3 linked regions of the Ovis aries genome follow. The protein of the gene in region 3 binds, or shares a complex with, the protein of the main gene of each other region. Links are inferred from orthologs where the notes say so. Each region holds a gene or a part of one and is shown on either strand. Other genes may lie near its edges. The genes, in order: CIPC, BMAL1 and CLOCK.

Evidence for each region.
Region 1: the proteins of CLOCK (region 3) and CIPC are in contact, whole or in part, in a crystal structure (PDB 5VJI), measured with the Mus musculus proteins. The link is inferred for Ovis aries from reciprocal best matches to the Homo sapiens genes CLOCK and CIPC. Residues at the interface, in NP_001276755.1 of Mus musculus: Gln519, Leu526, Lys527, Leu530, Arg533, Ile537, Asn540, Ile541, Arg543, Gln544, Glu547, Leu548, Ile551, Gln554, Leu555, Val558; in XP_006515773.1 of Mus musculus: Asn401, Thr402, Val405, Leu406, Ser409, Leu411, Ile414, Thr415, Thr418, Leu421, Ile422, Asn425, Thr428, Gln429, Leu432, Leu435, Lys436, Thr439, Gln440, Phe442, Ile443, Thr446.
Region 2: the proteins of CLOCK (region 3) and BMAL1 are in contact, whole or in part, in a crystal structure (PDB 4F3L), measured with the Mus musculus proteins. The link is inferred for Ovis aries from reciprocal best matches to the Homo sapiens genes CLOCK and BMAL1. Residues at the interface, in NP_001276755.1 of Mus musculus: Arg46, Gln49, Phe50, Leu53, Ile54, Glu56, Leu57, Met60, Leu61, Pro62, Lys70, Ser71, Leu74, Gln75, Ser77, Ile78, Phe80, Leu81, Arg82, His84, Lys85, Thr88, Glu95, Ile96, Gln98, Asp99, Trp100, Pro102, Phe104, Leu105; in XP_030097882.1 of Mus musculus: Lys70, Met71, Phe74, Ile75, Glu77, Leu78, Ser80, Leu81, Val82, Asp93, Leu95, Leu98, Arg99, Ala101, Val102, His104, Met105, Lys106, Leu108, Arg109, Gly110, Ala118, Tyr120, Lys121, Pro122, Phe124, Leu125, Asp127, Asp128, Glu129.

What each region holds. Positions count from the first base shown.
Region 1 is NC_056060.1:86,465,713-86,470,702, forward strand, and holds the start of CIPC (CLOCK-interacting pacemaker), read left to right. Parts: upstream 1-1,729; coding exon 1,730-1,865; intron 1,866-4,990.
Region 2 is NC_056068.1:39,065,273-39,069,521, forward strand, and holds part of BMAL1 (basic helix-loop-helix ARNT-like protein 1), read right to left. Parts: intron 2,342-4,249; coding exon 2,095-2,341; intron 762-2,094; coding exon 655-761; intron 1-654. UniProt on the Homo sapiens protein: Transcriptional activator which forms a core component of the circadian clock.
Region 3 is NC_056059.1:71,697,994-71,702,933, reverse strand, and holds the start of CLOCK (circadian locomoter output cycles protein kaput), read left to right. Parts: upstream 1-1,990; 5' UTR 1,991-2,117; intron 2,118-2,284; exon of another isoform or gene 2,285-2,417; intron 2,418-2,851; exon of another isoform or gene 2,852-3,234; intron 3,235-3,368; 5' UTR 3,369-3,443; intron 3,444-4,940. UniProt on the Homo sapiens protein: Transcriptional activator which forms a core component of the circadian clock.

The sequences.
Region 1 (4,990 bases), on a different chromosome or scaffold from region 3:
CGTTCACACGGCATTTTCAGGGTGTCTTCAGATACGCAGCTGTCTGACAGGGGCCCCATGTTTCTCTCTACTTAGAAGGACGAACAGATGGAGTCGAAAATGAATCGTGAATAAGAATGCCTCCAGGTATAGCTTAAACGTACTACCTCGGTCCATTTTGTCATGACAAAACACCACAGACCGTGTAGCTTATAAACCACAGAAATTTATTTCTCCCAGTTCTGGAAGCTGAAAGTCCAAGCTTAGGGTGCCAGCAAGGTCGAGGGACAGCCCTCTTTTGGGTCACAGACTTCTCACTGACTGTGGTGCAAGGGGCTGGGGACCTCTCTAGAGCCTAAGGCACTCATCCCATGAGGTGAAGCTCTCATTACCTAAGCCCCACCTCCTAACACCATCATCTTGGGGGATTAAGATTCCATATATGAATTCTGGGGGGACACAGATGTTCAGATTGGAGCACTCGTCCGGTTGCGTTGTTATTGCTGTTTTACCTGTTGGTCCGGTGTTCTCTTTATCCCTGCAGTATCCTTGTGTTCTGACTGTGCCGCCTTTCCAGCTGCCATCCCTTGGCTGTTCAGAAAAGAAAGTGAAAGTGTTCGTCGCTGAAGCGTGTGTCCGACTCTTTGCAACCCCGTGGTCTGTAACCCGCCAGGCTCCTCTATTCATGAGATTCTCCAGGCCAGAATATTGGAGTGGGTTGCCATTCCCTTCTCCAGGGGATCTTCCCGACCTGATGATCAAACCTAGGTCTCCTGCATTGGAGGCAGATTCCGTAGCATCTGAGGCACCATGGAAGCCCTGACTGTTCAGAGGGCCCTGTTAAAATATCCTGAAAGGGCTCATTGGTCTCACAGTTTGCGCTGTTAACCTAGTTCTGGATCTGCTTTGAACTAGCTGTGTGTTACTGGGTCAAATCTAGGCGTCTCTCAGGAAGAGGGGGAGCAGGTCTGTCTGATTCGCTCTGTACCCGCCACTAGCACCATGCCCAGCTCACAACAGGCACTCAGGAAGTATTTTTAAATGGCTGAATATAACTTATCTGAGCCTCAACTTCCTTCTCTGTAAAATGGGATAACAACTGAGAAGGATGTTTTGAGGCTCAAATGAGATAATCTTAACATCAGTAATGTTACGGGTGTTTGTGGATCAAAGCACTGTGTATCTGGTTTTCTGTGCACATAGACGCACTTTCTAAGCCAGAATGTGGCATGCATATATAAGGAGTTGTTTTTTGATCTGTTCACTACCTCCTCTAATTTGATAAACTACACTCGGGGAGGTGGCAGAAAGTCTCGGGCCTGCGGAGGTATCCTGGGAAGCAGGCCTGGTCCGAGGTGGGCATCCCCTCTCCTCTCTTCTTCTCCCTCAGGGAGCATTCCAGAGAGCTAATCAAATGTGCCTTTGTTAGCAGTTTACAAAGCTTCCACTGAATGGTCTGTGTGCTTTGCATTTGTAATGGAATTAGAGGGCAGGGAGAGGACAGTGAGCCTGCCTTTGGATGGAAACCATTCTCCTGCTGAGTAAACGTGTAGCCTTTGTCTGCTGAGACCTCTGAGAAAGTGCCGGCTGAGGACGTGGGCGAGGCCCGTGTCCTTTGCCCCGACTTTACTCACTGCTGGTTCACCTGTCCTAGCTCTCCAGGCAGTGACTTCTTACGTAACTGTTGTTTTTTCACAGGGCAGTCCAGATGAAAAGAGTACTGATGTGTCCCCTCGCAGCCCAGTAAAACATGGAGAGGAAGAACCCGTCCAGAGAGGGCTCTCGAAGGCTGTCAGCCAAACCAAGCAAGGGCTCAGAGATGAAAAAGGCGTCTCGTCAGCTCGGCCTGGCAGCTGCTGAGTCAGACAAGGACTCTGGATTTTCAGGTTAAAATTACCTTATCCTTTCTACACTGTAGTGAATGATTTGCCTGAAAAATGTCCTCCGTAAAACTCATTTGTGTGATAATGATGGGAAGGTTTCACCCACAGGAGAAATGAATGGCTCTCTGGTCTCTTAAAATGGTAGTTCTGTTGCCACATGGCAGGGTATTCATCAGAGTCACAGTGGGGTTAGTTCTGAAGGAACGGTTTGATGTCTTTTTTCAGCTCAGACTCTCAACTTCAAATCTTACGTGTTTCCCCACTGTGGGAAGTGGTTATGGGAGAAAAGATATAAAATACTCATAATTCTGTTGTCTTTCCTCCTTTCTCACAGGAATAGTTATATTGCAGTTAAACTGCATTCCAATAATCACATTGGAAAAAAAACTGCATGTTGTCACCACATAGAACAAATTAAACAAAGGTAGTGGGGTCACACAGAGTCGGACACGACTGAAGCGACTTAGCAGCAGCAGCAGCAGTGTATAATTTGTTAAGATATCTTTTTTCTAAGAAAGTATTTTGTTATGTTTAAAAACATTTCCTCCTGATAGCCCATCCCTGCCAGTGTTTGCTCTTTGTGTTTGGTCTGTGAGTCTCCTGGCCCCATTCCAAACCTGAGTACCTATTAGAGACGAGAAAGCAGGACAATTTTCCTTACTATTTTTTCTGAAAGAACTAGCTGCATACCCAGTAAATCTTTTAATTTTGTGCTGAGGCTTTTTTTAATCTCCAGGTCTGAGAGAAGTGGCTTAAATACGGCTTGAGTGGCGACATTTTTGGCCCAGGGGATGCAGAGAGGTGATGCCAGGGGATTCGGCCTGGGCCGGCATCCCGAGAGCGGAGCCCTCTCCTGGAGGAAGATTTCTATTTTTCAGCCCACAGAGACTAATCAGTCCATCTTGTCGATTTATGAATTTATAGTGAGAAATGCAGCTCTTAGGAACCCTGAACTCTCTCACCCTTAGATTTGTAAATTTTGAAGCTGCAGGGGAAGCCAGGTTATCAATAGGTTGTTGATCTGAGAGGAGCAGAGCACCAGGTCAGGGATTAGAATAAGTACAGTTCAGGAAAGTTAGGGCCAGCGTCTAGCTCTTTGGGTTTTTCTTCTCAATTTTTTCCCATTGTTTCTCAAGCTTGCCTCATCATAAGGCCTTTCTGAGGCATTTGTTTAAAAACACCAGGCCCCTCTCCTGGAGATTGTGACATCGAGGGTCTGCGGGGAGGGCTTGGAGTGTGGGTTTCCTATTTTTACAAGTGTCTCTGGTGATGCCTGTGATCAAACAGGTTTGGGAAACTTTGCAAGCCTGCTGCTGTTGCTGCTGCTGCTAAGTCGCTTCAGTCGTGTCCGGCTCTGTGTGACCCCATAGACAGCAGCCCACCAGGCTCCCCCATCCCTGGGATTCTCTAGGCAAGAACACTGGAGTGGGTGCCATTTCCTTCTCCAGTGCATGAAAGTGAAAAGTGAAAGTGAAGTCCCTCAGTCGTGTCCGACTCTTCGCGACCCCATGGACTGCAGCCCACCAGGCTCCTCCGTCCATGGGATTTTCCAGGCACAAGTACTGGAGTGGGGTGCCATTGCCTTCTCTGTCTTAATATCATATTGGGTTGTTTTTTTTTTTTAATATCATGAAGGTAATATATGCTCATTGTAGAAGCTTAGAAGTTTAGGTACATGCAGAGAAGAAAATAAATATTAACCATAATCCCACCTCCTGTTATTCTCAATACTGTGGCCATTTTGGTACTTCCTCTGACAACTTCAGCTCCATCAGGCCAGCTGTTTTGTAGCATGTTGCACAGCCTGGGTAGTTTTTCTGAAAGTTTCCTATTCTCAATGCAGCAGTGCCTTAAGAAGTTTTGTGCTGTTCAGACATAAGGCAGTCTTAAAAATACTCAGACTCATATGCCCCAGAAGGTGGTCCCAGTGAAGGCCTCCAGCCACTTCTGGGCCAGGTGCCAATGGTGTCATCCCTGCTGGAGTTATCCTTTCAGTTCCTTGGGATGTGATGTAATTGGCAGTTATTAATTAGCTACAGTCCGTATTTAGATTTTTCGCATTGTCTCAGTAGTGTCCTTTATAACTGTTAGTCTCTTTTGTATATTTGCTTGTTGTGGGTGCAGAACTCAGTTGAAGGTTGTGCATTTCATTTCATTGTCCTGTCTTTTCGCTCTTAGTCTAGAACAGTTCCCTTGTCTTCCCTTTCTTTTTTTTTCGTGAAATTGACATCTTTAAATGAGTTAGGCCTGTTGTTTTGTACGATGTTTCACACTGGACTTCTCTGGTAGCTTCCCCAGTATTAGAAACAGAATAAACGTTTTTAAAATAGAAAACTAAATTTTTGATGTTACATCCTCTCATTGCAACACATGAGGTGACTCCTAGGTTTGTCTTATTCTTGGTGATGCTCTGATTAAGGGAGTAATTGTAGACCAGATTTCTTTATTATGAAAGCCCTCCTTTCTCTCTGTAATTAATAAGCAGAGTATGGGATGGTACTTTAAGATTGTGTGACTCTCCTGTTTGCCAACAACCTCTTGACCAGTGGTTTTTGCATCCACTGATGATGCTTACCTAAACCAGTTATTAAACTTGTGGTTTGAAAAATGGTGATCTAATTCTATTATTCCTTTACATGTTATTAGCTGTTGATCTTCTTTAAGGAAACACTTCTCGACCCCCTTTTTTGAGCATCACTGTGGATTCACGGAATTCTTTTCTGATTTGGTTTGTCAACCCATTATCCGTATTCTTTCTGATACCAGGTTGTCCCACATTGGGTCAGTGGGGGTCTCTTCTAGATGGCACCTGTGTCTTTGACGTGTCTCGCATTTGTGGTTGAGCGCTTCCTTGCTTTCTGGGACAGTAAGATGTCTAGGCTTCCCTGCCAAAGACATCAGCTATTTCTCCAAGGAGCCCTGGTTTCCTTTTCATGCAGAACGGCATTTGCGTAGAAAACAAGATACATGTACTAGGTACGTACTTTCCTTCTGAAGTTCTTTGTTTCTGGCCCAATAGCTCTTAACTAAAGGTGCACATCTGGATTACTTGTGCTTTGTGAAAGTACGTGTGCCTGGACACCAGCTAAATCAATTCCATAGATTGAGGGGAAGGCCCCAAGACCCAT
Region 2 (4,249 bases), on a different chromosome or scaffold from region 3:
GGGTCTTGAGCATCTGTCAAAGGTGACTGCGCAGGGGGTTTTGAGCACAGATGTGACTGTCAGGCTCAGTCTGTCAGAGCATAAGCGGGACAGCAATAGAAGATGGACTGGCGGGGCAGAGGCAAGTCCATCACAATTATCAGGTGGGTACCAGGGCTGCATCAGGGGCTTGGCAGAAAGGGGCCTCCTTGGAGATGCATGGCTGAGATGAATGAACAGTTCCGACGGAGGAAAGAGTAAAGAAGGGAGTCAATGTTGGCTGCTGTCTCAGGAGGCTATGTACGTGGCCACGTCATTAACCAAGAGGAAAATGCAGGAGGCGGTGCAGGGATTTGTAGGAAATTAGATCCGCTTGGGCCACACTAAATCTTTACATAGTCCAGGGAAACCCTCTGAACCAGAGGTGCCTTCCAGAAATTGCTCCAGCCCATGTAGAGATCTACTAGGCAGTCGGGGTGGGCGGTTATCTGGAAGGGGGTAGATGAGGCCTGGGGGAAGGAGCAGCACCCTCTCCTCCCAGACATTCTGGCCTGCAGGTCCCTGGGCTGGCTGACTCCCACCTCACAGGGGCAGATTTCTCTGCAAGGGTCCATGGACATGTCTAGAAGGAGGACACTTGAAACTTCAGAACTGGTGTACAGCCCAGCAGCTAACCTTGCCTATGACATTCTGCGAGATGTCCTATGTCATCTTGGTGGAAATACTCATAACACGACGTGCCTAGAAGTTCTTGTGGTAGATATGCCAAAATAGCTGTTGCCCTAAAAGGGAGAAAAAAAATTTTTTTTTAAATAAAATAACATTCAGACAATTAACAGATCTCTGCAGTGGATGACTCCTGCTACAGCCAATGAAAACAAGGTCAAAGCTGGGGGGGTTCAGAGGGCTTATTACATGGGTTTTGTTCTTTCTCATGAAGCTGACTTTAATCGGGGTTATAAAAACAGAGAGAGAAAGCAAAGACTTTCAAAGGGGCTGTTAGCACAAGACATCAAATTTTAGGTTTAAAAGTAGTAACTTTTAGATTAAAAAAAAGTGATAGGACTCTAAACTCCAGGTCAAAACTTCTCCAATTTACTGCCTGCTTTTTATCAGAGTGACCAGAAGCCCCAGTCGTGGGGCCCACAGGGACCTTGAGAAGCGGCTGCCTCCTTTTCTAGTATTTAGTGACTGGCTATTTCCAGTGGCCAGAAAAATTGCTAGCCTGTGGATACTTGTAAGGAAGCAGCAGAGAGCAGTGGAAATTTGGGTTCTTAGCCCAGGTCTACGGCCAATGAGTTACGAATCTCGGAGGGGGCTGGTCTTCAGGCTGAGCCTCTGTTCATCAGCCATAAAGAATGAGACCAGACTAGATCAGTGTTGTCCAGCAGAACTTTTTGTGAAGACAGAAATGTTCTGTTCAGGTACCATTAGCCACTGTTGCTGCTGTTTAGTCGCTAAGTTGTATCCAATCCTTTGTGATCCCATGGACTGCAGCCTACCAGGCTCCTCCGTCTATGGGATTTCTCAGGCAAGAATACTGGAGTGGGGTGCCATTCCCCTCTCCAGGGGATCCTCCTGACCCATGGATTGAACCTGCATCTCCTGCCCTGGCAGGCAGATTCTTTATAGCTGAGCCACCAGGGAAGCCACATGTGACTACTGATACTTGAAATGTGGTTAGTGAGCTGGGGGAATTTAAATTCACATTTTAACTTTAATTGATTAAATATATGGGGTTACTATAGCCAATGACTACTGTATTGATAGCTCAAGACCAGATAATCTTTTCAAAGTCCCACATCCCAGAACTCACATTACAGTAATTAATGGAACACTCCATAGATTCAGATAGCATGTTATGCCTATTATTTCTCTCTTAGCCACGGACATCAAGCCACCCCACTTCACTGTCTCTACCTGCCCAAGAATGACATGGAGAAAATTTCTGTATTTATGATGATAACCCACTAGGTCTCATTTTTCAGCAGATCCACCCGTCACTTCCTCCTCTCTATCCTTAAGAAAGGCAGCCAATGGCCCAGTCTGCTCTGCTTTACTCAAGGTTGAAAATCTGCTGCCAAGACAGTCCAAGGGTAACGTGCAGACTCTTACCTCTGGTCTACAAAAACAAACTTCCCATCTATCGCGTGCCGGGAGACATATTCCATTGATTTCACCCTGATTTCCCCATTTGCCGGTTGTGGAACCATGTGAGAGTGCAGCCGTCCGATGGCGACAAGGCAGCTAAGATTACACCCCTCATTGTCTGGTTCGTTGTCTTCATCCAGCCCCATCTTTGTGGGCGGCCAGCTTTTCAAATAGCCTGTGCTGTGGATTGTGCAGAAGCTTTTTCGATCTGCTAGAAAGCAAAGTCCGATGTCAGTGGGGCTTTGGGGCCTGGAAGCACAGGCAGCCTATCGTGCATTGAGATGTAGGGAGGGACTGAAAATATAAAAATCAAAGTCTACTGTCCAGAAGATAGCATCAAGTGAAAGAGAAAGACAGAAAGATCAGGCATGATCCAGTGTCATGTGTGTTTCGTAGCAATGATGACACCAAATGGGCATCACGTACACCAAGGAAGGAGCAGCACAATCCCCCTGGCAGAGGAAGGCTGCCCAGAAGATCTGTGTAGGAGGAGAGCTGGGAGGGATGGGCACCGGCTAAAGGACCAGAATGTGTAAAGGCTGAGAAGGTACAAAGACCCAGAGGGGCATCCTGTACAGCAAACAGCACAGTGCTCCATGCAGGTGAAGTGAAAAGGGAGGTGCTGGGGGTAAGTGCTGGGAAGGTAGGTTGGCAGCATACTGTTGGGGCCTTGGATCATTTGCTCACAAAGGTGTTAACCTTTTCCAGACTGGAAATGGAGAGTTTCCAAGGGCACTTACAGTGGGGAAACAGCAAAATCACATCGTGATTTGGATGCTTTAATGACGGGGGGCGGTGGGGGACTGGAAGACAGTAAAAGCCAGGAGGAGGATAGTAATCAGCGAGAGATGCCAGGGACTCACAATGGCAGTGCTGTGGAGATAAGGGGGAGGCAGAAAGGACGCAGGGGAATTTCTGGGCTGAACTTTTGGGATCTGGTCTGAGTATCAAATATTTGGGATGAAAAAAGAAAACACAGATGAGTCCAACTTTTTCGGATTGAGTGGTTACAGGTACAATTTGTTGACTCAGGGGAGAGAATACAGAGTGTGTTTTAGAGGAGAGGGAGAAAGATTTCAGTGTGGGACACGTTAAGCGTGAAGCATCCGTGAATTTCAACAGTACACATATTTTTTTTTGTTGTTGGCGGGGGCGGGCTGCCTTGTGTCGCAGCTCGCAGGACCTTAGTTCCCCAACCAGGGCTCAAACCTGTGCCCCCCTTGCCGTGGAGGACTGCCAGGAAAGTCCCAGTAGACACATTCTTATGGAATGTTTACCAAGCATCGGGTCTGTGCTAGTTACTGGGAAAGAGTGGACAACAAGTCAGGCACGCCTCTGTGGAATTTAGTCTAATGGGGGGGAGGTACTTCAAACAAATAACCCACAAATGACTCCATAACTGCAATGGGAGCAAGTGTCACAAGGAAAACCTGCAGGGTGTGCCATGCAGACAGAAGGCAGTCTGAGGGACTGAGCGACAGACATCGGGGTCCACTCTGAAGGGGGGTTTGCAGAGAGCCAGGGAGGGGAGCTGGTGGCGAGGGAGGCACTTCCTTCAGAGGTGACACCACGTGTGCAGATACTGAGTGGAAAGGGGTTGGAGGCATCAAACGGAGGTCTGCACGGCTCAAACCTATGGAGGAGTGTCAAGGGAGAGCGCTACAGGGTCACATTAAAGATTTTAAACTTTTCTTCAAGAGCAATGGGAACCAATGAAGGGTTTGAAACAGGGGACAGATACAAAGATTTGCTTTTAGAAAGGTCACTCTGGCCATGGGAAAGGCTGGAAAGCGTGAGGAAAGTACTTCAACAGACTTATGAGACCCAGGACAGCCTCGATCGAGTAATGGCAGTAACAAATACACTTCTTCAGGAGTGACTCATAGCAGCAAGAACCCTAGGCCAGGGCGGAGGGAAACGGGGAGACGGTGTCTCCCAGGCTCTCAGCACACACAGCTCGATGCGAGGAGCTGCCGTAACATTCCAGAGGAAGCCTGGGTGGTTACTTCTATGCCTATCACCTATGAGATGCTCTAGAGATGTCCAAGCAGGTAGATTAAATAAGCAGTTAGTTTACAAATCTGGAGTTCAAAAGAGCAGTGTGGGCTAGAAATATGAA
Region 3 (4,940 bases):
GGGAAATGTTTGAGTAGTGGCAGAAGAATGAGCAGAAAACGGGACTATCAACAGGTGTTGGTAAATGATTAAATACAGAAAATGAGAGAGGAAGGAGTCAAAGATGAACATGATGTGTTTCTAGTGACTAAGAGGACCATGGAACCATTAAAAGGGGCAAAGGTATTTTTGAAGATACGATGCAGAATATGAAGAGAGATCACTTTCTCTAGAAAATCTAATCCTAGGAAAAGCATTCAAAGCCTCTTGTCTAACTGAAATCTTCCTAATCAGTATTATTAATCTTGCTTCCTCTCTTGCTACCACTGTGAGAATTCATGATGGCAAGTGACAGATAACCTCTCACTGGTTTAAGCAATGAATACATGTTAAGAATTTATTGACTTCTAAGTCGCTTCAGTCGTGTCTGACTCTGTGCGACCCCATAGATGGCAGCCCACCAGGCTCCCCCGTCCTGGGATTCTCCAGGCAAGAACACTGGAGTGGGTTGCCATTTCCTTCTCCAATGCACGAAAGCGAAAAGTGAAAGTGAAGTTGAACTTAACTGAAATTTCCAGTTATCTAGTCCACAATGGATTCCATGCATCCAATGTGTCTACAGGCCAAATCTCCATTTTTAAACCTGCTTTATTCCACGTTGCCTTCTTTCTCAGAATCTGTGAGTAGGAAGATGTGTTCAGGCTTTCATTTTTGCAGACTTAACTCCACTGGAAAAGAGATCAACCTTCTTAGTTAAATCCAAACTAAGGTAGAGGATTAACTCAAATGTGTTTTCCTCTGGAGTCCTGCTCCAGCCTCAGAATAGGGAATGAATGCTAAGCAGGAAAAAATGTCTACTAAAATCTTGTCTGCTATATGATGACTCTATCACGCTCTCCCATTCCGGATAGAATCCTCTGGTGAATGATAAGGGATCTGAATAGTTTCTCAATTTCAATCGATGTTCTTTTTCTCTTGAGTACACAGCAAGAATCTGAAGTGTTCACTGAGATGAATGTTACCTTTGAGGGAGGATTTTATAGTCACAAGTTTTTTTGAAAGAAGAAAAAATGGCTTCTATTTCAAATTCAAAGAACAATCATTAAAATATGAAAACTACTAGGAATTAGGAGTGTAGACTTTTTCCCAATAATTTTTAGCTACTGAAAGGTGCTTTCCCTTGCGGACCAACTGTCTTAACCATCAAAGAAAGTAATTTCCCCCTAAGATAAGGGGGAAAACATTCACACGTTTTTCTACAAGGGAAGGAAGGTACAAGCTAGGATCCTGGTTTATCTCCCATCTTCCTTAAGGCTAGATAAAAATCTCCAAAGGAGCACGTCCGTTATCTTCTTTGGCCTCGGCCCTCCAGCCAAGGACTCACGTCCGATATCCCCAGGCCCACTCTCCAAAAAGAAGCGACTAAAGCAGTGCACTTCCAGAAGAGAGAGGAGGAGTCTGGAGTGCCAGTCACCTTCACAAACGCCCTCTTCCAGTCCCAAGAGACGAAACGCAAGTGATGCCACTGGATGAGGGGGAAAATTCTTTTCGCCCGCCCGATTTTTTTTTCCCCTGGCATTGGCAAAGTGATTTGGTTTTCGAGAAAGAGAAGGTCCCCCTTTTTGGCTTCGGGATCCCTTGCACATGAAACTCTCCTCTGTCCTCGCTTCCTGCATCCAGGGTAAAAGTCAAAGCCACCCTGATCTAAAACTCCCGGGACCGGCCGCACCCTCCGCAGCTAACCAGGCCCCGCCTCCCCTGCTTTCCAGTAACCGGTGCGAGGAACGGGGCGCCGGGGGGATCTTGGCTTTCCTGCACGCCCGGCGGCAGCCGCGGATCGCGCAGACGCGTAGCCCTAGGGAGCAGGAGTCTCCTCCGGCGCCCGGGATCCCCATCGCAGCTCCGAGCTGCCTAACGGGGCACATCGCATGCGCACCAAGACGCACTGGGGAAAGAGAGAGTGAGGGGAGGGACGAAAGAAAAGCGCCGGCAGTCGGAGCCCGCAGGGGTCACTGACTACGCATGCGCCGGGAGGGAGCGCAATCACAGACTCGTCTTGCGGCTACCGGCTTAAAAAAGGAAACCCCCGAGACAGAGAGCGCGAAGGAAATCTGGCCGCCGACGCGTGCGCGCTCCCGGTGAGTGGCGCCCCGCCGGGTGGGCCTGGGGCCTGACGTCCGCCGGCAGGCTTGCCTGAGCGGCGCATGCGTGGTCCCGGTGCCTGTGGAGGAGGGGAAGGGAAGGGAGGGGGAGGAGTTGAGGGCGGCTGTAGCGGTGAATTTTTGGGGGGTGGGTTGGGGGCGCCACTCAGCCTCAGGTGCTGCTAGAGCAGGGAGCCGCAGCGCCTTCAGGACGCTGCAAGGCTAGTGGTTCCGAGTCGCCGCAGCTGGACTCCGGGGTGGGGGAGGGAAGAAGCCGGAGCCGCCGCAAGCCACACGGTGAGGGCGCCGGGAAGTGGGGGGAGCGGGAGGGCGGTGTGTGTGGGGCCGGGGGGCGGCGGCCAGGGGAGGGGCGGGCTGGCGCTGAAGCCCAAGTTTTGCTTATCGCTCGAGAGTGTCTTTTCTCGGGAGTTGGGGTGGAGGCCCGCCCCGTCTGAAGGGCCTTTCGGGACAGCTGGGGTTACCTGCGGGGCAGGGGTGGGATTGGGGTGCGCGGCGGGGTCGGGTGGCCGGAGCGCGCCCTTGGGTTGAGGCCGGTTCGAGCGGCAGAGGGGCGGGGAGAGCCGAAGAGCCGGTGCGGAGAGGGCTTTCGCTGGGGACCCGCTAGGCCTTGTGACCCACTTTATTCCTGTCACAACTCGGGCACGTTTGGAGCGGCGCCCAATGGGGCGCCGGGACGGCCAGCTCCTCCGGGGAACCCCCGCCCTCCCGGCACCCGGCCCGCGCGCCGCGGCCCGCAGTCCGAGCGGTGGCCGCCGCCGCCCGTGGGCTGGTTCCGTTAGTGGTCGCGGTTCCGGGGCTGGGTCCCCGGGGAACGCGCTACTCCTCGCGTCCGACTCGAGCCGCTGCGCGGGTTCGAACGCTCCCGGGGCGGCGCCGGTCTTCCTTGAGTCCACCCGCGCCCGCCCGCCCCGGGTCACCGCGGCGGCTGATTCTTGTGGAAACCTTTTCGCCTGCGAAGCTGGACTCTAGCTTGTCCTGGCGTGCTGGCCCCGGGAGTGTAATTTCCGATGTGTAGCGCCGCAGAGCTTACATTCTTGAGTGCGTTTTCGCTGGTGTGCAAGTCGTCCTGTTGCTAATAGCAGAATCCTGAAAGGTAAAAACCTCGGCCTCTGACTTGGGGAATGAAAGATCGAATCAGGTGGCGGTTGCTTGCTATTAGAATGCCGCGCTATACGACTTGAAGGCTTTCTAACCTTAGAAAAGCAACAATAATGTTTTCTTTTACAGTGAAAGAAAAGCACTAGAAGGAACTTTTAGTCATTGTTGATTTGGCTGTTACGCTGATGCCCCAATCAAAAAAAGGTAATTTCACTTGAAGTCTACATTCTAATTTGTACCTTTATTTTAAGTGATAAAATAGTGCGACTTTTCCCGTCTACCTGGTTGGAAAAGAAACGTTCTAAAAAGGATGTAATTTAAATAATGAGTTGCTTTGTCTGTTTTTAGATCTTGGGGGGAGAAACTTAACTCAGGTGTTAAGTAGTTAACTGTATAGAATATCATTAAAGTTTAGCCTGAAGAAAGATGAAAGTTGTAGTCATAATCAGCTGTGAAAAAGAATGAGGAAGCTTTGTGTGTAATGACACGGAAAGATCTCCAAAGTATGTTATAAAGTGAAAAAAACAAGATATAGGACAGCGTGAATAACGTGCTACTTTGTGTGATAACGAGGCACCCATGGAATAGGAATATAAACTTGGGTTTGTCTTTATAAGTATAAAGAAACTGGCGGGGGAGGATAGCGGAGAATTGATAATGGTTGGGTAGAGGGCGGAGTAACCTGATGAGGGGATGGTGGGAAATGACACGTACACTGTATGCCTTTATATTTTAAAGTATTTGTGACTATATTATGAGTTCGTAAACTAGATTAAACAAAAATCCTTCTCTCCAAAATAATTTGCTCAAAATAATTTCTTTCTTTCCTAGTTTGTAGTAATTTTGGCCATTTTTAATATGGTTTCTCTTAGTGGTTTTTTTTTTTTTTTTTTTTTTTTTTTAAGGGGAAACGACCTAAACTTGACAGAAAGTTTTAAGTATGGCTATCTAGGCTCCAGTTTTTAAGATGCTAATGTTACAAATTTAACTTTTAAAAATGTTTAGTCATATTTTGTTTTGCTAAAATATATGACATTATTTACATTTGACATTTTGGCTTATGCTGTGTTCAGAGCATAGTTTTTCTTGCTGCTTTTTTTCCCCCAGAAATCCTAGTTGTATAAAATTTTACTTTTACTTTTTTTAACCCCAAAGTTGTGATGACAAACAGTTGGAGAATATGAACTCTCCATTAAAATGACACTGGAATTGGTTCTCTAGATAGTTTGCTTTTCAGATGGGGAAATACTTTCTCAAGGCGGTCAGACATGAACTGCATGTAAATTTATATGTGTGTGTGTTTAGAGAGAGATCCTGTATATAGATATAGTACTTACAGAGAATTAAAGTTGAGAGTCAATGTTCTGTTGGTGCAAACGCTAAAATTTTTTTATGACTTAATGGGTTGCTGAAAACAGTATGTAGTTTCAGGGGGGAGGGTACTCAAAATTCCTCTGGTGGCTAATATCGTATAATCAGAGTCGTGAATGTTGAGTAGTGGGTGACAGTTGCTATGGGCATTTTTGTTGTGTAGCATTCCTTTTTATTTTGGAGGATAGGATAATTTTGTTATTTCTCTTTGATCTGTTGGTCTCTGGTAGTCAAATTTCTGCAAATGGCATTTAATTTTCATTTGAATTCCATATATGTCTGTTCATTCTTTTTGAAAAACATTAGAGAAGTAAGTCAATGTTCAGGAAA